4 linked regions of the Drosophila melanogaster genome follow. The protein of the gene in region 1 interacts with the protein of each later gene in a pairwise test. Each region holds a gene or a part of one and is shown on either strand. Other genes may lie near its edges.

Region 1 (7,566 bases):
CATATCCGATATTAATTGCTCAGCAAGGATCTTTAAAATAAAATGAAGTAATTAGAACAACTAGCTATAACTTTTTGGTGAAGATAACCTACAATTCGGCTGTCCTCACTGTCGTCCTCTGGGCGCAGCTTGGCCAGATTGTATTCGTGGGAGAGTATGTTGGCCTGTCGCTTCAGATTGTCACCAAAGGCGTGGTGACCGCCACTTAAAACATAATAATAAACGCAGCCCAAGGAAAATATATCCACAGCAGTTGTCTGTAAATAATTGAAAGACATCGATTTTAGAAAGTTCTTGTGATGGTGAAGAAGTAGTGTAGGGTAATAATAAAAATCATGTCGTACCGTTCGCTGTGATCTCATCATTTCTGGGGCTATCCATCCATCGGTGCCTGTTACACCCGATCGGCGTGAGAAACTAGTCTTGCCAAAATTCAGCTTCTTGCACAGCCCAAAATCGGAGATCATGACACGTACTTTGCCCTTGGCGTCTGGCAGAGAAATAAGAACATTTTGCGGCTTAATGTCGCGATGCACAATGTCGAGAGAGTGAAGATGACTAAGTCCAGATGCAGCCTGGCTCAACACTTGCCAAACATCGATGTGATTTTGAAGTTCCAGCGAGCGATCTCCTTCGGTGTAGTCCTGCAGAGTGGCCGCGCACAGCTCGACGGCTATGTAGCGGAACTGGCGATCCTGTTCGGTGCAGAAGTAGCGCACCACATTTTCGTGCGCGTCCGATTCTCGCAATAGGGCCACCTCGCGATCAGCAAAGGTGAAGCATTCGGGCAGCAGCCGTTTTACGGCTACGAAACGTTCCTCGAATGTGCCCTTAAAGACAAAAGTACCCTCGCAGCCCTTTCCCAGCACTTCATTTGTGCTGAAGCTGATCTTGCCCACACGCACTTGTCCATTACCCAAGTCCACTAGGTCTTCAGCGTTCGCATTGCTACCATTGCTGCCAGTGCTTCCATTGGATCCATTTTGGGCTATGGCAAAGGTTTTTGAACCATTCTCGCTCTGCTTTTGCAGCTCCCTCATTGTGCTGCAGGTGTACCAGAACAAGGCAATCATACCCAGAACGATAACAATTAGAATCTGATGCACCTTTCCGCTAGGATGCTCCATAAACCACTCGTTGATAAAGGCCTGCACCTTATTGCTGTTCTGCAGTATTATTGTCTTCGTCCGATTAATGGTGTTCCCATTCGTCCGCTGATCAATGCCAATTTCGACCAGCTCGGGATCCGTTTGCACGCCAATGTCGGCGGCGTTCTTTTCATTATTGGCCAACAGGCCGTAGCCATCGTTATAGTTGTGAATGGTGGCCAGACTTTGAACCACCTTGCTGCTGGCTGTCGTCGGTGACAGCTGCAGGTTACCATTACCCTCATTGGGCATGTTGTAGTGTCCCAACATAATTCCTGCATGCTCTTGCAGCACATCGTTAATGTAAATGGTGCGCGGATCTGTCTCTTGGTTGCTGTTCTGGTCTCCTGTAGGTCCATCCAGGAGTTTTATAGGTGGTGCTGTGGAAATACGAGGCGTGTTCTTGTCCACCAGCGAAGGCAGGGCATACAAGCCCTTTTGATGTTCGCCCACATAAAGGGATTGGCTGTTGAAAATATTACAATTAATATGGAATTCAGGACGAATATCGTATGTCCCTTACAATAGCTTCACGGTGTTCACATTTCCTGTTTTCGACTCCTCGAGGATGGCCTGGTAAGCCTCATCAGAGACCGTGGTGAATGGCACACTGAGTAGCCCGTCTGGTCCCAAAAGGAATGCAGCCACCACTGGGCTGCTCAGATCGCGCTGCCACAGAAATTTACCGTGTTTTCGATCCAGAGTCACAATTTGTCCATTGGTGGTGGTGGTCAGATGTATATACTCTGCGTGCGGGAGATCATAAGCAAATGTGTACACTCTTATATTATGAGATGCACTTACCATATTCCTTGGCCAGCTCAGGAGGAGCACTCACAGCATTGTAGTCGTAAAATGTGATATTCCATGGCTTAGCATCCTTGTTCTTAGCCAGGCTGTCGTACATCATGACCGTGTACTGAGTCCGGCCTAGATAGATGGCCCGCGAAGTGGCCCAGCCGATCTGCTCGCCCTCCTTACCATCCACTGTGGCATCGCCAAAGCCCATAACCTTTTCGCGTCTGCCCGTCTTAGGATCCACCATATACCAGGTGTCGCTCTTTTTCCCTGAGTACAGGATTCCATCGGAGGAACGACAGGGAGCATTGGCCACCAGTTGGGGAATGGTGTACGGTAACTTCTTAAGACTGCCCATCTGACCCAGCTGGTAAATGCTGCCATCTCGAGGATCGGGCAGAAAGTGCGGAACCTGAACATTCTCCTGATGTTCTGCTACTATAGGAGGATCTAAAAGAAATACAATTATAGCTTAAAAGTAAAATCATAAAAGAAAAACAAAGTAATAAACATGATTGCAAATTCGAAATCGTGATAAAGTCCGATTCCTTTGCATCCATGTAAAAGCACAATATATGCAAAATCACACAAAATGTATTCCGAGTGGTGTTAAACTTTCAAATCGCATACTGCATCGAATTCATTACAAGTTGTTTTGTTACGACAAGATAACCTAATATATATATACTCCGCGCCAAAAACACATTTGACTAGCCGGCAATAACAATATTTTTAGTTTTATTTTGCTTCTTTTTATTTCCTTTTATTACCCAGTATTAACTAGTAATGAACATTTCATGTCTATTTTTGACGAATTTTAAAAAATCCCACTGTTATCAATTAAAAATTTTAGTTTAAGCAGAAATTTCTGAATTCCAGATTATTATTCAATACTCAGCTTTAGTTAGCAAGTATACTTATTATTATTATCTTTTCAATTTAGAGTGATGAACCCCTTTTGCAGTAAATTATTTTAAGTGTGCACAGTAAACAAATTCCAATAAAAAGTTCCTGATATCGGTGCAACTAACGTGGAGTAAAGTAAGGGAAATATAATAAATTATAACCAGAACCTGTTCTCGATAACGCTTATCTCCTGATGTATGTACATACTTATACCGATGGGAACGAAAATGTAATCTATACATTAACCCCATCCCAAGCGGAGAGCACATTTTCTGGTGCACATTAAAGAACGTGAACACTTTCCACCAAAAGGCCCGAATAAATTAAGCGGCTTTTTGGCGCGGCAGACAAAGCCAAAGCAAACAGCAGTTGGGTAAATACGAAATAGACCTGGGGGACCCATGGCTGGCTGATCAAATCCAAAGTGTTTACGCCAGTCGTGTTGGCAATTTCTTTCTGTTATCGCCAACAATTCGCGCGAGGCAACAGCGTTAAATTCTGACTTTGTCGAATGCAAATGGAGACCATCATCGCATGCACGATATTGACGAAATGGTTTAAACAAAACTCAAGTATTGCCAGGAAAGATGGTCGTCAACCAATATCGAGTAATGAAACCAAACAATTCGATGTACTGTCCATTCTTATCAATAATTAGTTGCAACCCCAAAAACATTCCCGGCATTAACCGAATGTTGCCGCAATTTCTGGGGCAGGTCATTTAACTCGCCGCAGCACTTTCATTAGCATGAGCATTCTAATTGCCTAGCGGTAGTCGTAGACAAAACCTGATTCCGTCTCGTGATGAGGTAATAGAACCTAACAAATCGGTACACCGATCTGCTGTGCTAGAGCCGGCGAAACAGTGTAATTACCGCGAATCAAAAACATATTATTGGCTTGAATGACTCGGAAAAATACTGCCCAAATAGTGCGCTCTGCCATGAAACCGCTAGTCAGATGCTGTCCACATGTTTGTCTCCCTGAATTTTCAATCATTTGCAGTTCCACGAAGCCCGGCGACAAGCGGGCAGCATGAAATTTCTAATAATACGAATGGACATACATGTGTATTGCAGCTATCACATAAAATAATCTTCACGGGGCGTGGGTTTTTTATTTCAGAAATTAAACAAACATGTGGAGGGCGTATTGTCCACAGAGAGTCATTTGGCATAACTCCAATACTTAGTTGGGGAGTAATTAAAGGAAGTTCTTGAGGCATTACTTATCAGGCGAATATGAATGCTCTGAAGTGGAAAATCAATCAACAAAGCCAGTGAAAATAAAAATAGCACCAGGTTTATAAGCAATATTCGATAATTCGAATTGAAAATGCCCTCACTTTTTAATTAGATAAGTGAAGCCCCATTTTAGTGATCTATTGAATGCTATACACATTAAACAAACATAATAATACTAATGGTAGCCAACAAGTGCACCAATTCAAACGAAAGCTATGCACATTAACCCCTTTAATCGCGCAATTTACTAACATCTTTCTCCTGGTGACTCATTTATATATGCCAGCTAATCTCAGAGGTTAATACGAAGCAGCCAAATGACCACAAGATTAACGCACTTGAGAGCCACCGAAAATCAATACGTCACGCTGAGAAATTATGGGAATATTCAATGAACCGAATGGAAAATGGCTCAAAGTCCCAACCACCCACTGCGGAAAGGGTATGGGGGAACAGCAACTGGTGATATGGCGCACTGGCTGGCAACTTAATTGGTGGAATTGTGTGCCGAGAACGCTTGTCGAGATTGCGCTAGACGCGGGACCTTATCAGGCCCGCAGCACAATACACAACATTAATGGCGAGAGTGAAAATAATAGAGCACGAAAGGCGGTGGAAAGATCTATCCTAGGCTCTTACATCTGGCAGATACGAAATCTGCGATGAGCTCATCGAGCGCATGCATGTGCTACGCATTTCGCACTTCAAACGGCGAGTGCAACAGCCTGGTGAAGTGGCAATTTTCCAGGAGGGGTGGTGACAGCATGGGAATAAATATATATATATAGCTAGATCTCTTAAGATCTTTAAATCTACTATGCAAATAAAGCGGCAATTTCCCTAAAAAAAAAAGACTCCTAGATTTAGCTTAAAACAACAATAAACGCAAATAAAACGATTTAAATTTAGCTGTTAAATGGTCTAAAGAAACATTCTCACATTTCAATGAGCAAAACAATAAACAAAACAAAAATATTCTTAATGTGGCATTCGGTAACAATTAAATTTTCCTGACTTTGCATTTATGAAAGATCTTAGTGCTTCCAGTTCGAATGTTTTCAATAACAAAACCATATTGTTTTTTTATCTTTAAAGTATTTAGATACCTAAAAACACCCATTTCCCGAGATATATGCTGGAAAATTCCCACTTTTGATAATAAGGACCCTTCTTTGCCCATCATATGTTTCGAGTCCCACACTTGTGGCCGGAAAATAGGGGTGCAGTGAGTGTGGAGGACAGCGGAGTGCCCGCGTAATTACCATCTGCTATTGTCCAGCGTATTTCGCTGGTCACCGGATCGATGGCTGTCAGTCCGCCGCCCAGTGTGGAGAACACCATCAGCGCCTCCTCGTCGCGGGCGAGGTCCGTGCAGTCCTGCGGGTTGTGGAAGAGCGAGAGAAACTTATGAACAACATATCGGGCAAGGTGATGAAATATTCATTGGTAGTCCAGTGTTAGCCCTTAGTGGGTCATACGGCCCAGTGCCGCCCCCACTTACCGTCTTCTCATCCTCGCCGCTGCTGACGACTTCTGCCGAGTCGCCCTGTTGTGATTTTGCTGTAGCTGATGCAATAAGCCCGCTGGCCAGCAAAAATAACACGCAACAAACAACAACGCAGAATCTCATTTTGTTTTTGCAACCGGTAGGGCGCGGGGCGGGGGTATTAGAAGAGAAAAGAGAGCGAAAGAGAGAGGGAACTAGTTACTGCTATTTCCGATCCGTATTCAGTTTGCACGTTTAGTCAGTTTTCGTTTCTTGTTTGTGGCATATTATCGCCTCTTTTTCAAAACTTTTCAATCATCAAACACTGTTGCAGCTCTGGCCGTGCTAAATTTCACATTTTCTTCGCACTCGCGTTCAATATTTTCCAATTACGTTCGCCATTGTTGAGTTGAGAGTTCGTCGAGTGAGCGGAGTAGAGTGACAGTGGGCAGATAATTGGGAAAAGACCGTACTGGTTTGAAGTGTGACCAGGGAGCACGCAACGAGCCAAATATGCAACGAAATAATATCCCATTCACACTGACGCTTGAGATGGCAGCAATGGAAATCTTATTGTTACCCATCGCTGTTGCCATAAAATCAATTTAAATGTGAAAAGATCTTTTTATTCCAACATGGATAAAATTGTAACATATACGTGGTAATATAATGTGAGCTTTGGAGTTTCTGCGCTTGCAGTGTAAACTTCCCAGAACTTGTATTGACTTTGGTCGATAAAAATCGATAGGCGATCTAATTTCGATATTACACAATGCGTCTTGTTTTTACGGGTAATTGTGTTTTTAAACGCCTGCTGCACACGGAAATAGGCGGAAAGTATGCCAAACAGCAGCCGCGGAACCTCAAAGGACGGAGCAAGAGCTCCCAGGAGTGGCTTACGCGCCAACTGGCGGATCCGTACGTGGAGAAGGCCCGCATGATGAACTATCGCTGCCGGAGTGCCTTCAAATTACTGGAGATCGACGACAAATACGGAATACTGCGGCCCGGAGACACAGTTTTGGAATGCGGAGCTGCTCCTGGCAGCTGGACCCAGGTGGCCGTGGAGCGGACCAATGCCAACGGAAAGCAGGAGCGGGCGCCACAGGGAGCCGTCTTTAGCATCGACCTGTTGCATTTCCATGCTGTGCCGGGTGCCACAATCTTTGGCGGCATGGATTTCACTTCTTCGCTGGCACAAAAGCGGCTGAGGGAAGCGTTACAAGACAGAAAGGTCAACTGCGTGCTGTCCGATATGGCACCCAATGCCACCGGAGTGAGGATGCTGGACCAGGAGAGCATCACTAACCTCTGCTACGAGGTGCTGCGCTTTGCCCTGGCCATGTCTGCTCCGCAGGCCCATCTGGTGGTCAAGGTGTGGGATAATGGCGACGTGCCCAAGCTGGAGCGAGATATGCTTAGGTTTTATGAGAAAGTGAAGAGAGTAAAACCGCGCGCTAGCCGCGGAGACTCCGCCGAGCACTTCCTGGTGGCCAGGAACTTTAAAGGAGCAACGGATAGTTAATTATTAACTGCGTTTTTTGGACTAGTTGAATTAAAAGCTTTGTTAATTGACTGTAGCTTATATTGGATAGAATAACTAAAGGGAAGTAACCTAGGATTAATTTCATCTCAACATTTTTGTTGATTTTCTTTTTGATGTTTTAATCTTTGTTGTTATATACAGTTCTGTAACAAATTATATGAATTTAGTTGAGTATTAACAACCCAATGCTCTCATCAACATATTTATGCATTCAAAACTCACACCAAATTATTCATGATTAATTTTAAAAACAAAGGCTTAAATTTGGTCTCCAAATTGTACTGAATAGTTTAAGTACGCATTTCCTAGTGCTTGTAATGAGTAAGGTGATCAATCATCATGTACAGCCACTTGGGCTGATCGTGAGGAGCCATGTGCCCGGCATTGCGGACCATGATCTCCACAAGATGTCCGGCGTGCTTGACATAGCCGGCCACT
Region 2 (4,990 bases), on another chromosome or scaffold:
TGCCGTGTTCTGCCACAGTTATCAATAATAATAGTTTTAGTTAATAGTTCATAGAATTAAGTAGCTGCTCGTGCCAGTGACGGTGCCAGAAAATCCCAGAGAATCGCACTTTACTTGCGACCCAGGGTATCGCGCCATTCGTTATACTTGTCCATCTCCTCGTGCAGCTGAAGAGCCTCTATGCAGGCGTTGAAGAAGGGCGATCCGAAGCATTCTTGCCTGTGTTCAAAAACAAAAGGAGGAGGAGGAATTAGGAAACCTGATTTTTTTTAATTTGGTGTATAGCTTGCTCAGAAGAAAAAAGAGCCAAAGTTCAAAAGCCATATTCAGGTATGGTTGAATATATCACAAAAATTATTGTTCTCAAAATCTTGTTCTGTTTGTTTGCTCAAAAAATACGAGCTCAACAGTTCGAGGATTATTGAGGAATTTAACAAAAAGTAAAGCATAGTTGGTCAAATTTTTAGCTTGAGTGCTAGTTAAAAGCCAAGAATGCACAAGGTCAAAAATCAAATAATTAATTAAAAACAAAAGAAAATTATAACGTACCAAAACAAAAACGGTAAGCAGGCGTTTTTAGTCGCGCCAGAAACGCGCGCAAATCGCCAGCTGCAGTCTGTCTGTCTCTGTCGCCTTCTGTATGGCGGTCTCTTTCTCTGGCGGTGTCCTGCGTCGCGCATTCGCATTCTAATTCTCATTTATCACAATTTTGATGCTCTCAAATAGCCAGCGAATGATTGATTATCCTTTATTAATTTACAGGGTTTTATTAATTATGTATTATTTATTGCCACATTTGTAATGCAGTCGTTCCGTTCTTCGCGTGTTTTTACCAGGTTTTTGTTTGTGTCTTGCACAAATTGCGATCTTGCGTTTCTCTCTAATATTTAGCATGTGTGTAGGGTACTCGTATTCGGATATATGTAAGGCTTTAGCTTTAGATAGGTATGCATATACTATATACTATATAGGTAAATACATATCTCCGTTTTGCGCCAACAGATTTACACTAATTCAGGGTTTCATCTTTACAAAATAGCACAAAATTGTAAGTGTAATACATTTGCAAAATACTTTCGGTCTCGATTGCGGTGTATATATGTGTGTGTGTGAGTGTGTGTGTATGTGTGTATGTGTGTATGTGTGTGTTCGTATGGGTTTATCTTTATCATTGTAGTTTTGCCCTTGCGGAAAATCGTGTAAAATGTAAACTCTAAATGCTGATTTTACAGTAGAATACAGATACAAAAATAAAAGTTATCATTTTACATTACATAGATTAAAAACAATGGATTTCGTTTTGTTTATTTTATATACAAACCGCATAACGCAATAATAATAAAACAAGCTAAGAATACTTAAAAATAAATACTTCGGCTTCTATGTATATGTGGGGAGTGCGAGATCTGCGATCCTCCTCCTGCACATCATCATCATCATCATCTGATCATCATCATCGCCCATCTCCCACTCCCCAATTATGTTACTTACAACAAACGCATAACGTTCTCAATAAATTAATAAAAATAATTCGTTTTTAAAAAAACACATATAGTAAAAACTGTAAGGCATACAGTAATAAATAAGTACGAATTAAATTTGGGCGTTTTAATATTTTAGATTTCTGTGTTCTGGCTCTGCATGTGTGGTCGTAGTGGGACTGTTTCTCGATCTGGATCTGGATCTATATCTGGATGCGGATGCTCGTTCCAACCCACGATATTCGCACCGATTCTCAGCTGTGTGTGGTGTGTGTTGTTTGTTGTGTGCTGTATGGTGTATGGTGTGTTGGGGCTGTGGGTGTGTGGGGCGGGGACTTAGAGTTATGTTTGCGGCCCCATGTTGAAGGATATGGGCGAGCCGTTCACTACTCTCAGAAAGTGCTGTAGGTTGGATATTTCCTCTTCGGGTATTAACAGCACTTTCAGGCATTCGCCAAACCATTTTGAATCAAAGCAGTCTTTCCTAAAATTGAAAACGAAAATCAAAATGAAACACAACGGTAAAGGTAACTGAAGGCAGTAAGAAATCAGGAAAATGAAGTCGTTGCGGAAACGAAAGCGGAAACGGAAGTGGAAACGAAAGTGGTCGAAGTTAGGAGTCTAGTGGTAGATGGGCTTGTGAAACGGATAGGGTGATCCGTTGATCACTTTCAGATAGTGCTGCAGCTGCGATATCTCTTCATCGTCGATCAGCAGCACCTTTAGGCAATCCCCGAAGGTCTCGTGGACGAAACAATTGGCCCTGCATCGAATAGACAAGAAACACAGATGTAGGACTCGCACAGAGGGAAGTCAAACGAAAAGGTGATAAACTTATTACTACAATATTTAAGTGACTATAGGGTGAAACAAAAAGAGAGAGAGAGAGATATAGACCAAATGGAAGAAACCAAATAGGCAGCGGTCTCTGTGCGAGAAAGTCGAGGAGAAAGTAGCGGGGAAAGCGGGCCCATAAAGTTCAGAAACAACCGAAGGTCCCGCGATCATTTTCCGATACCCCGACAATTGTATTTGTGTCAGGGTCTGCCAGCACTTAAGATCATAATTAGTGTTTCTTGGACGGCCTTGCCTTGAACGCTGTAAGGAACACTGATGCTGCTTTGTGGTTTTGTTAGATATTTGTATGTATGTATGTGTACGTATGGCTGGGGCTGTGGGACCCTAGGGAAACTTACTTGCATAATCGGTGTATACTCGTCTCGCGGAACAACTGGTAGCAGTCCTCGCAGATGCGGTCCAGTCGGAAGAACATGGTCTTGTTGAAGATGCCCTTGCACTCCAGGTCGAAGAAGTTGCTGCGCTTCGACAGATTGTGGTTGTGTGGCAAGGCGGCGAAGATTGGTATCAGGACAAGAAACAGCACCACCGAGATCTTTATGTTGCGGGAACACATCTGCAAAAGTGTGGGAAACCGGAAACACGGTTAAGAATAGATGCCTATTTATAGGTGCGATCAGATTAATTAACTGCCCGGACCACCTCTCTGGCCAAGCAGATGTGGGCCAACCCAGCACGATGTCGGCCCAGCTCCACGCCGCCGCCAAAGGACAGGGGCAAGGGCAGCTCTCGCCCAGGTGGCATCGATCTGCTGCTCGATCCGCATCGCGGATGGGCAGGAGGACGGCGGAGACCCTATAAATAGACCTCGTCCGACAGCCGTCTACCGACTGGCTAAAAATAGGGCCCCCATCCCCATCCCCATGTCCATGCCCATGCCATTCTCCACCCAAAGGTGCAATTGCAATAGTGGCAACAGTTGCAGTCGGTGCCGCAGACGATCTTATCGCAGGAGCGCTCTATAAATAGCACCGGCGATTTCAATGTTTATTGCATTATTTGCCATCTGTCGGCGGGCTTAATTTATGATGTAAGTCCGCCCCGCCCCGCCCTCGTCTTTGGCGGCTCAAAGGAGAGCCAATTTGCGAACGGACGCAGACGCGGACGGGCCCCCAAAACATGGGCATTTGTTTACTTTGCATATTTTATCAATTTGCGCGCCCGCCGGGAATTACAGCGATGACAGCGATATATATATGAATATATATATATATATATCTATGCACTCGCATTTGTGGCATTCCGAACTATTGAATAATTTGATTAACAGCGCGCTTTTCGCAAATTTTTCCACTGCGCGCTGTGCCAATTGGCCGTTTGTGTGAACATGTGTGAAATTCCTTCGACCCCGGGTGAAAAATTGAAATGCTGAATGAAAACCAGGCAGACACGACGACGTCGGCTATTTCGAGAGCAATTTCGAGAGTATCAGCAACATGAAAGCGAATTTGTGCCGATAATGATTTAAACACATATAATCGCTAACGAATATACTCGTATTGTTTTAGCGAACGACTCTGAGGATCTGCGCAAATTGATTTTTTATTGCCGTGCTGATGTCTTCAATTAAGTTGAGCACATTTTTTCGCAGATTTATGGCCGCGAGATGGGAAAACACCGAAATGGAAATGGGTATGGGAAGGGGAATGGGGCATTTGGGGGGACTGCCAATTGGAATCGGAATTCTGAGAAAGTTCATCAGTCGGTCGCCGAAATATTCATATATTTATATGAATACTATGAATACTATTCGCGATAAGTGAGGCTTCTCGCTTAAAAGTATGCTCCACCAAGGGGTCTTTATTTGATATATTTTTGGTTGATGATATCAAGGGCTCGCTCATGTGTCGTCATACTTAATTACTGCGGTCTCGTGTGACAAAACAAATGTTTTTAAGCAATCACATATTTTTGTAGTGAATATAAATAACTCATCCCAGGCCATCGGTCGTCATTGTTTAGTACTTAGTGTCGAAAGTATATATAAATCAAGAGTAATACATCCATCTGTCGTCATAGTCAATTGCTCGCTGTACTATCGCCAACTATTGTAACATTATGACTTCAACTTGCTGGAAGGTAGAATAAGCTCCAGACAAATGAACCCTACTATCCCTACCTGCGAGTGGTGGGCACAAAGAGTGCAAGTTGTGGTCGGGTGGGGAACCCTTTGCACTCAATGCACATGTAGCACTCGTTTAGTCAGAGATCCCGACGACGTTTCAGTGCAAAGTGCAACAGCTTGCGTACGGCGACTCAGCTCGGCTCGATTTCCCCGATGGATTCGGATTCGGATTCGGATTTGGATTTGGCTGCTGGCTGTGGGCTGAGCATCTGGTGATAATTGGCTTCGAGTTGCACGATTTATGGCATCATCGTCGCTGCAGGCGGCTATTTTTAACGCTCTTTGCCGGCGTGAGTGCCATAATTGATATGCGAACCGCGTTGAAGATAATGTAACATGGACCGCGAAAAGGGGCTTCAGTATCGCAGAAGAAGGCGAGGGAAAGTTGGAGGAGCGGTTGAATGGATGATCCGGGGCGACTGGGCCGATCGATCGAATGGCGTCATCGTCGCAGGAAGGAGCCAATGAACGGCGTCATATTTGATCGATCTCCGATCTGAAGTGCTGCTCATATAGCTGCTCCTCC
Region 3 (4,956 bases), on another chromosome or scaffold:
TAAGTCTTTTCATGTTTTACATATCTCTCATCCCAAGTTAGAGCTTCCAACTGGCAGATGAGCATCGCATCGGAGATGGGCAAGGCCAATTGTCGGCTAGACAAGAGCTCCAAATTGGCCTCCGGGGAAATTGGTCTCTACGTTCTTGTGCCCGCCTCGAATTTGCTATGCATAAGTGACACAATTTACTTAAATATTGATAAACAAATGTGTTGGGGAATCTGTTGACTAAATTGTGTTGATTAGCTGGGCATGGGGGATTAATTGGTCGTGTGGTAGAGAACTTTTTAAAATATAACCGAAGAAATATAAAAATATTTAAAAGTAAATAGCATAACAATAAAGCATCTTCATAAGAAATATAATTATTCTTCAAACCCTAAGGCTTCGTAAATATTCGAAATGCTTATTGTATCTATAATTTTAAATCTTGCTCCTATTATTACAAAAATAATAAATTTAACACTTAGCTTTCCTCGAACTGATGAACATTTAACTTAAATTTTCTTAAGATTTTTTTGTGGCAGGCAATCTTTGACCATCTATATCACACTTGGTCCTACATAAGAGCTGTTTTAATATTTAAAGCAACAGACTTTACACAGATTCACGGTCTATTTTTGGCTCAACTCACTTTTCATCCGGCGGCGGGGGCATCTCGATGCCATTGGGAGTTCCCGGGGGCGACTTCTCGCTGACCCTGTCCATGGCCTCCTCCATCGGCGGAAGGGGACTCACCGAGTTCGTGTCCATGTGAAAGCAATCAATTTTGATGCCTCTGCTCCGCTGACTGGCTGCATTGCGAGAAGAGAAACGTTTATGAGGCTGGGCATTTAAATGTGGCATTTTAATAGAGAGAACAACAGAGCAGCAGCAGGATTCCGATTCAGATTCAGTTTCTGATTCCACATCCGCAACTCTGCATAATAATAGGGGGTGTAGCTCTCATCTGTTGATGAATGGCGGCGCCGCCATAAGTCTGTATATATAGTTCTGTACAATATATGGGCCTTTCGAATGGGGAGAAGCAAGCATTATAAGCGGGGAAGTCGCTTTTCATGGCGGGAAGTGGAAATGGCTTTTGGCATTTATTTTTGGCGACTCCACAAGGTGGCAAAAGTGCAGCGTCAACTGAAGTCCAGGGCATTGCACTTGGCTCGCTCTCTGTTTGTGTTTTTTTTTTTTTGTCTTGCGGATTTCGTGTATTTTTTCCGCCGCCTCTGCCATGTGTGAAATTGGCTCATCACACGTCCGAATGCGTTCTGCAGAGAGCGCCAATTTCCGATTCACGTCGCCCGTCATGTCGAAGATACTCCAGATACTCCAGATACTCCAGATACTCCTGCTTAGAGTGTGTGTGGGTTCTTTCGTTCGGCGCCCTTTTCCTGCTTTCCCACCAATCAATTATTATTGGACGTTCTAGTTCTTGGGGGTTCGTTGAACTCGATGCAGAGACACTTGATGGACACATCAATGCCTGGCATTTGCTGATGCCGAAGCCAACTTCCTTTGCCCAGTCAACCAGTCAACCGGCAACCGCAGTCCGCCCCTTCATTCCGAAATTCCTGCGAATCGTTTGCATAGCCCACTGTCCCTATCCACACACTCACACATGTGTCCAGTTCCCACGGAACTGGACGATGGGGATTGACATTCCCTCTGCCTGGATTATGCTGATTATACAGGTCCCAACTCAAGGGTATTATTAGTAAATGAGAGAGAGACATGTTCGGGTTACGGGTGCATGCAGTTCGGTTTTGATTGGAATCACCAAAGGCTCTCGCCCTCAGTCATTTGATTCACTCTTTTGGGGAGCAAAGTAAAGTTCTCAAAATTATAAAATTTGATTACTTTGAGTAATATTCGGAAGATTATTTAAGCTTTGTAACAAGTATGTATTGTAAGTATTTCTAGCTAAAAAAATACAAAGTAATATAAATACAAAGTAATATTTTGTGTAACCATTAATGGTTGGTAGCGTAGCATATGGAGCAGTTGCTTCCATTATTATTAATAAATAAATAAGATTTCTTTGTTAATTATTGAGTTCTCACACACCATGAAATTCTATAATAGCTTTGTGTGATTTGTTCTTTAATTAATATGAACTAATTAGCTGGCGCTTTAAAAGCTTTTCTAGCCTCCTAAGTACATGTCCCCCAAGAAAAGAATCAAGAATTTCCTATTAGATTTGAGATCTTGTTGTTTCCAGAGGGCAGACCCACTTACCAATCCCCAATCGCTGTGGGCTACTTTCTGGAGAGGAAGCTGGACATTATGCAATCCCGCAGCTGCTGACGCTGCCCATAGCTGCGCCAAATGAAGCAAACAAACAAAGCGAGCGGCCAAAAATCCACTCACAAAAGAAGGGCTCCAAATATTTCGAGGCCCGGATATGCAGACTATGACTTGTGCAGAGAGATTGTCAAGGGGAAGGGGGGGGGATGCAGAAATCGGGGCCTGGGAGACGGAATGGGTTGGGATGGAGGCTGCCTGGGATGCCTAGTCTTCCCACAACAGACATCCTTTTGTGGCAGGGACTTAATAATCCGATTTGGGTCTGGCGAAATCTGTGCTTTATGCACTCTTATATGAGAAACCAGCTAGCAAAGCGGAAACGGAAACGATGCTCCTGTTGTTCTTGCCACTCTCGATTTGCTGTCTTTGCGGCAAAATGTGAACCTACCCCAAGTTCGTGTGGCGTGTGACGGTGCGGTGTCAAAAACCCTTTTCAATGAAAACTTAATTACTCTATTATGCACAAACTCTCCGCGCGAATGGTGTATGCGCTTAATTGGATTTGCGGCCGCTTCAACGAGCTGGAATTTAACAATTTTCCACAATTAATTCATCTGCCCGAACGCGAACGGAGTGCATCCCTCCTCCGGCGGAGATGAAGCGGCCTGCAAGGGAGCTGACGGATGATGGAAACTCCGCAAACAAACCGGCACGGAACACAAACGCTGTGAGTCAATAACACATTCACGTCCGAACTCCACGAATGCTGCGAACGAACTGAGCCATGCGGCACTGGGAAAACTAACCGATGACATGCCATAATGGTGCTATAATCCAGCTTCGTGTCTTGTGGCTTCGTGTAAAATACGTTCGGTTTTCAAAGTTTATAGCACATACGTGTAGAAGGGGAACGAGTTATTTACATGAAATGTAGAATAAATTGATTGATGAAAAAGTGTTTGAATTAAATACATCGATTTTGAAACCCCAAAGGATTGCCAATGAATCAATTCTAATTTTCCTGGTTTGTTTAAAAATATCAATATAATTTAATTGATTTATTCAAACACCATTTAAAACAGGATTGAATGCAAATATAGAGTTCATATTTTAAAATTTTGATGTTAATGATTAAAAAGGTATAATTACGATTGCTCTAAGAAAATTAGTAAGTAAACATCTTTTATTTATTATTCTTATATATCATGTATAATCTTCCAACCTCAAAAGACCCATTAAGTAACGATATGCCATATATTGTGTGCGTTTTCAGCTAAACATGTATATATTCAATTGCCATCAAGCAAATATGTATATCTGAACTTACATATGATCTTTTTAAACGGGATTCTTAATACACATTCAAACGCATACAAATATCAATTGACAAGTACGAATGCAATACATTTAGGCAGGTCACAGACCCCAGTTATGTGGGAAAGTTAGATATCCGTTAAGATTATTGTCATTGTTTCGTAGGATAACATGGAATTTTTGTGGCTAACTAAGCGCTACCAAGTACAAGTACAAATGCCGCTCGTGCAGTGGATCCGCCTCGAAGGATCACGACTTGCACGTGGGATGACTACTACAAATTATATAGGACTAACCAAGCAGCGTGAACTGATGGTATTTTGGGTACTCTTAACTTTAATCTAATACATCATATATAAACTAAAATGTTGTGCGAATAATTTAGTCAGAGAGATTCGGCTGGGATCCTGGATCTCTGTACGCTTATAGTCCCGGCTTGGTTTTGTCATCGATGCTGCTTCCGGCGCTCGCCGTGCTGCCCGCATCCGATGGCACCGGGCTGGACCGTCCTGATCCTGCCCTGGATCCGGATTCCACGGGAGTGGGAATGGGACTGGTTGTCGGACTGGTCTCCAGGTCGCTTGTGCTGCAGATTTCCTGGAAGGTGAAATTGGAATTCAGCTTGAGCATTTCATATAGATTTCTGGAATTGTGCCCCAAAAGGTCCCCCGTCGTTAAACTTGCACATGGACTTGAGCCTGGACTTGAACCTGGACTTGAACCTGGACTTGAACCTGGACTTGAACCTGGACTTGAACCTGGACTTGAACCTGGACTTGAACTTGAGTTTGAACTTGAACTGACCTCATCCGCTTGTGTCTTGCTGGTCACCGCCTCGGGCTTGCACTCCTCGCTGGACTGGTCGGCCTTCTCCGCCCAGGAGCGAAGGAACTCCACCACGTGACAGTGGCCGAAGTTCTCTGCCTCATCCACGGGCAGATTTCCCCAGCGATCCTTGGGGTTGTGTGGTACATGACACTGTTCCAGCAGGAACTTGACGCACTCCAAGTGTCCTTCGGACGCAGCCAAATGGAGGGCAGTGCGACCATCGTAGTCGGCCAGAGTGATATCCATTCCGGAGAGACGATGACGCCGCAAGGCTGTAACATCGCCGCTGGCAGCTGAAAAGAGTAGATTCACGATGGACAGACCCTTGGTCTCGTAGCGGTGCTTCCGCGGATCCTTCTTGTTGGACAGATGCTTCAGGTTGTCGTAGCGATGGAAATTGAACATGGAGACCAGCTCCTCACAAAACTGTAGTCCTCTCACTGTATTGCCTAAGTGATCCAAGGGCGGAGACCAGGCAAAGATGCCCATTACGTTGGGGATGACCAGCATCATGCCGCCACTCACTCCAGACTTGGCTGGCAGACCCACCTTGAAGGCGAACTGTCCGGAATAGTC
Region 4 (4,704 bases), on another chromosome or scaffold:
TTATGTCTAGGGAAATGTGTAACAAGGGCAGCATTTAAAAAATAATTTTCAGGGAGAGGAATTCATGATCACTTCCAGCATCCTATTTATGTAAGCCCCTTTATGTAAACTTCAAGCTAAGCGTGCAAGAAATTACATAGAAGATTATATGGTCCCATATGTTAAACCCTGCTTAAACGTGGATTGCCTAAACGTGGATTTTACAAAAATTTTAAATAATACAGTGGTAGTTTATTGCAGATTAGAAACGTTTTCATTTTAAGTTAACTCTTAAGGAACTCTTATAAGGTAAATTGATTATTCTATACAATGTACGTATAATGATAGCTAAACAAAATGTTGTTTATTATACCCGTTACTAGTAATGTAAAAGGGTATACTAGATACGTGGAAAAATATGGAACAGGCAGAAGGAAGCGTTTCCAACCACATAAAGTATATATATTCTTGAATAGGATCTGGCCATGGCCGTCTATCCGTATGAACGTCATACTATGAACGTCTTGATTTCAGAAACTATAAAAGCTAGACGGCTGAAATCAAGCATACAGACGCAAGTTTGTCGATTTTTCTTCGTTTTATTGTTTATCTTGTCAATTTTTAATTTTTTTCATTTCATTCTCATTTTATTTTATTCATTTATGAATAATTTCGCATTCGCAATCCCACTAGCTGAGTAAAGGGTATCGGATGGTCGGGGAACTCGAATACAGCATTCTCTCTTGTTAGAATTTAAGGACTAACCAATTAAATTTATTACACTCCACAACTTAAGTAATGTAGATATGCATTTATCAACAACGGATCGCACGTTGGTGGAACTCTACTGGCAATTTAAACCTTTTTCATTTGATTCATGTATGCTTATCAGCAAAAGTAGTCCTACTAGCTTGTGTGCCGTTGGGTTATCAGCGTTGGGTTTTCTCGGCAGGTTTTGACCGAAAGCATATTGTTGCCAATCAAATCGCCAGAAGAGCTTGTTATTATCTTTGATAGACAATAAGATACCCTTTTCCTGTCTAGTTGGAGGGCAAGAGATGAATATCGAGAGATATCGGGAACTATAAAAGCTACAGGGTAATCAAATCGCTATGTATGTAAGTTTGATTCAAAACCTTACCATTATCGCTTAAGCTGACACGATCACATTTTGTATTTTCATTTTGTATATTCTACCATTTGTCTTCCCAAAAAATGTAAAGCCAACAAACGGCTAAGGCAAAGAATCTAAAATTGTTAACAATCCAAACATTTTGCGACTGTTATTATGGTTTCGAATATCAAATTAAAACAGTGTCGAAATACTGGTATTGTAAAACTAGTACTATAGTAAATAGTAGTAATAATAGTAATAATAGTAATAATAATAATAGTAACTAGTAGATAGTAAAAACTATCTCTCTGAAAACTGTATCCCTAATCTCAACTCTTTAACTTCTATAGTTCCTAAGATCTCGACGTTCATACGGACGGACGGACAGACGGGCAGGGTCAGATCGACTCGGCTATTGATCCATATCAAGAATATATATACTTTTTCAAAGAATCTAGTATACCCTTTTACTCTACTTGTAGGCCACGGAAAAACCCTTGCTTACGCTTCGCAAAAAAAAAAACGAGTTTGCAATGGGCTCGGGAAAGGATTCAGTAGGAAAATTGACTACAATATAAGCAAGTGGAGGTTTTAGATTGGCTAGATAGTCCAGATCTAGGCCCCATAAACAATATTTGGTGGCTAATGAAAAGAAAGCTTCGAATGAACCACAGAGGAACATTTGTGACCTCAAAGAGATGTGGGTATCGATTTCTCGAGAACATGGCCAAAATTTTTTTAAATCAATGCCAAAACGTATTTAATGTGTAATACAGCCCAGGACGCGACGTTACACAATTCTTATGTTAATTAGTCTGTTATACTTTGCAGCGTTCGAATTAATAGTGGCCTTTTTTTCTTATCTCTGTTGTTGTTGTTGAAAATATAACATTTTTTATCAACATGAAGAGAATAAAATTCTCTTTCAGACTAAATACTTTTGCATACGTTATCTGTAGTAGTAATGAGTATACATATCGTGTGTTGAACATTGCACACCGCAAAAAACACATGCTGTTCGAAACACAATACAAAACAATAATAGTAGTTGGGGCTCGTATTTCATTTTCTTGGCTAGGTGTTCTAGAGCACCTTTTTTTTTGGCATATTTAACCCATTATATTATATACATATATACATGTATATATAACATAATATAATTTCTAATAGCATGCATACGTGTATTAAAATTGATGTGGTTTGTAATCTATTTGATTTGTAAATATGTAGCTATGGGACGTAGCGTTTTGCGAGAAAACTACCAATAAGAATTAGATCCTCCACCAACCAGAGAGTTTAACCGCAAGTCAAAGCAAAGTAAAGAAAACAATGCCGGCGCTGAGCGTGCACTGACCTTATCAGCAGGTTTGACTTTGGCAATGAGTAATAATTTCGACCGCGGCTCTCTTTCTCTCATATGTTTCTACTCAGCTGCTGATGCTGCACATAACTATGCACATACATATGAATGTACATATGTACGTTCCGTTGGAAAGAGAGATCACAACGGAGCGCCCATTCGTTGTATTCACTCTCACGTATCACACTGAACCATTGGCGTTAGTCTCATTTAGGCTTAATTGCGTAAAATTCTGATATTAAAAACATATTCATTTTAAACTCTTCAGAACATTAAAATTTAAATCATTATTATGACTTGTTCGTATCCAATCGTATTTTGTAAATCTTCCAGTTCCCAGCCATATGCGCATTGCATGGACTATGTAAACAAAATATGTGAATGTACGAAATACTCAGTTGAGAGACTACAATAATGTTCCGCTGTCGTGCACTATCAGCTGGTGTTCTCTTTTTATCGTACACGGCCCTACTCGCTGTAATTGTTTTAGATTTCCGATCGTCAGCGACTGCTTACTTCCCGGCACACCCGGCGACGCGTGAAGTTCAACTAACAGCGGTGACGGCGTCGCCTTCTCAGTTGGTTTCTGGGTAGAGCGAGACAGTGATAGTGGGGGCATTTTTCTCTTGAGTGGCGACGCTTGAGTGGTTCTCAAAGGACTTGGGAATTGCGTCTGTTGTTCGCTTATCAAAATAAGAGAGAAGAGTCTAGTTCCTCTACAATCAGAAATATCATATACCCATCACTCAGCTAAGTGGAGTCAGAAAAGAATGTGCCATAAGTAGGATCGTCGAGATCTCTGGCACTATAAATGATAGAAGGTTGACCCATGTATCCATTTTCCAAAAAAATTTTTGATACGCCCACTCTAACGTCCTGAAGCTGCCGAACCGGTCAAATTTTAAGTTTTTTCTCATTTTATTCCCCAACATCTATCGATATCCCAATAAAAAAAATAAATCGTGCAATTTCGGGTTCGCATTCACACTAGCTGAGATAGTCGGGGAACTCGACTATAGCATTCTCTTTTCGTTTATATTCTATTTCTTAATTTAAAAAAAAAAATCATTAGGCATCTGAAAGCCAAAAGCAAAAAGGAAGTTCTTAACGTCCTTAACGTCCGATCCGAAGACGCTAGACACTGATTATGTATATGTAAGGTACATATCAGATCATTTCAATTGGTTTCTTTAGTGTAACCGGAAAATTAAGTCGACGTTATCTACACTTTTGTGCTCGCGAACGTGATTATAAACACAACTCGAAGACTAAAAGGTAATCTTTAAAAATAAGGTTCAAGATAACGTTTCTGGCGCTATAAAAAATACATTTACACTTTATGACGAGTTTCGATATCGGGGAACTATAAATCGACACAGTTGAGACTAGACTTATCAGCGGTTCGATCCTTATCAAGTTCATCCACAGTAAAGCAGTATTATCAAATACTGTTAAAATTAAAATATGTACATAGTAATATGAAAGGCGTTTATCCTTAAAAACAAGAAAGTGGAAGTAAGATATAAATTTTTCAAACGGATTTTCTGGATCATATATTCATATTCATATTCGACTCTACAATTTAGTTGATATCAATGGCGCTTAAACACCGCTCAATTCATCACTTTTTCAATGTGTTTTAATCACTATATCCGTACTTATTTTTGAAGAGAGAAATTTCCATCGTCTTGTTGTCAGGTTCTTTTCAGTTTACGATTAAACTTAAAGTAAAATATATTATTATACCTTTAAAGATTTCTTTCTGCTCATGAAATTATTATATTACCTATAATAAAAATCGCAGGAAATCCGATAATCCATTTCGTTTTCTTACTTTCTTTTTTCTCATCCCCGCCCCATCCTTTTTATCAAGATGCAAAAGCACTTAAGCAAAATCTGCTTCCCGGAATGTGGTATTTCTTATTACAACGGGACCAATTAAAGGAGATTGTTATAAAACAGTTGTATGCAGTGGTGCTTGTCATAAAGAACGGATGAATAATCGAATTTTCTTTGGTTGTGTTTTGATTTGACAAAGAATGTATGTGTATGAATGTATGTATATGTATTAAGCAAATGCACTTTCGACGATCATTTAGCTAAGTTATTTCAAACAGAATAGCTATGCTTAGAGAAAACATTGGTGTGCAAATTGGAAGAGGAATTAGAGTTGTTAATTAGGGTTAATTAAAGTTAATAGGTGGAGTTTGTAGCGACCCCTGAAGCTATTATGTTAGAACACCCTGAAAGC

Evidence for each region.
Region 2: the proteins of Ire1 (region 1) and CG4622 interact in a two-hybrid assay, tested with the Drosophila melanogaster proteins (one large-scale study listed by BioGRID).
Region 3: the proteins of Ire1 (region 1) and nemy interact in a two-hybrid assay, tested with the Drosophila melanogaster proteins (one large-scale study listed by BioGRID).
Region 4: the proteins of Ire1 (region 1) and ZnT41F interact in a two-hybrid assay, tested with the Drosophila melanogaster proteins (one large-scale study listed by BioGRID).

The regions. Positions count from the first base shown.
Region 1 is NT_033777.3:19,855,289-19,862,854, forward strand, and holds the start of Ire1 (Inositol-requiring enzyme-1), read right to left. Parts: upstream 6,004-7,566; 5' UTR 5,727-6,003; coding exon 5,598-5,726; intron 5,474-5,597; coding exon 5,359-5,473; intron 2,397-5,358; coding exon 1,953-2,396; intron 1,895-1,952; coding exon 1,672-1,894; intron 1,615-1,671; coding exon 345-1,614; intron 258-344; coding exon 93-257; intron 31-92; coding exon 1-30. Other genes in the region: Mrm2 (mitochondrial rRNA methyltransferase 2), read left to right, coding at 6,355-7,107; CG4572 (uncharacterized protein), read right to left, coding at 7,434-7,566.
Region 2 is NT_033778.4:24,553,259-24,558,248, reverse strand, and holds the start of CG4622 (uncharacterized protein), read left to right. Parts: upstream 1-1,965; 5' UTR 1,966-2,102; coding exon of another isoform or gene 2,103-2,244; 5' UTR 2,245-2,306; intron 2,307-2,677; coding exon of another isoform or gene 2,678-2,895; intron 2,896-4,990. Other genes in the region: ITP (Ion transport peptide), read right to left, coding at 2,103-2,244, 2,678-2,895. UniProt on the Drosophila melanogaster protein: Scaffolding subunit of the trimeric nuclear exosome targeting (NEXT) complex, a complex that directs a subset of non-coding short-lived RNAs for exosomal degradation. The RNA exosome is fundamental for the degradation of RNA in eukaryotic nuclei.
Region 3 is NT_033778.4:12,667,201-12,672,156, forward strand, and holds the start of nemy (no extended memory), read right to left. Parts: upstream 3,020-4,956; 5' UTR 2,687-3,019; intron 795-2,686; 5' UTR 754-794; coding exon 635-753; intron 1-634. Other genes in the region: GLS (glutaminase), read right to left, coding at 3,976-4,956.
Region 4 is NT_033778.4:5,779,852-5,784,555, forward strand, and holds the start of ZnT41F (zinc transporter 41F), read right to left. Parts: upstream 3,008-4,704; 5' UTR 2,926-3,007; exon of another isoform or gene 2,448-2,925; intron 1-2,447.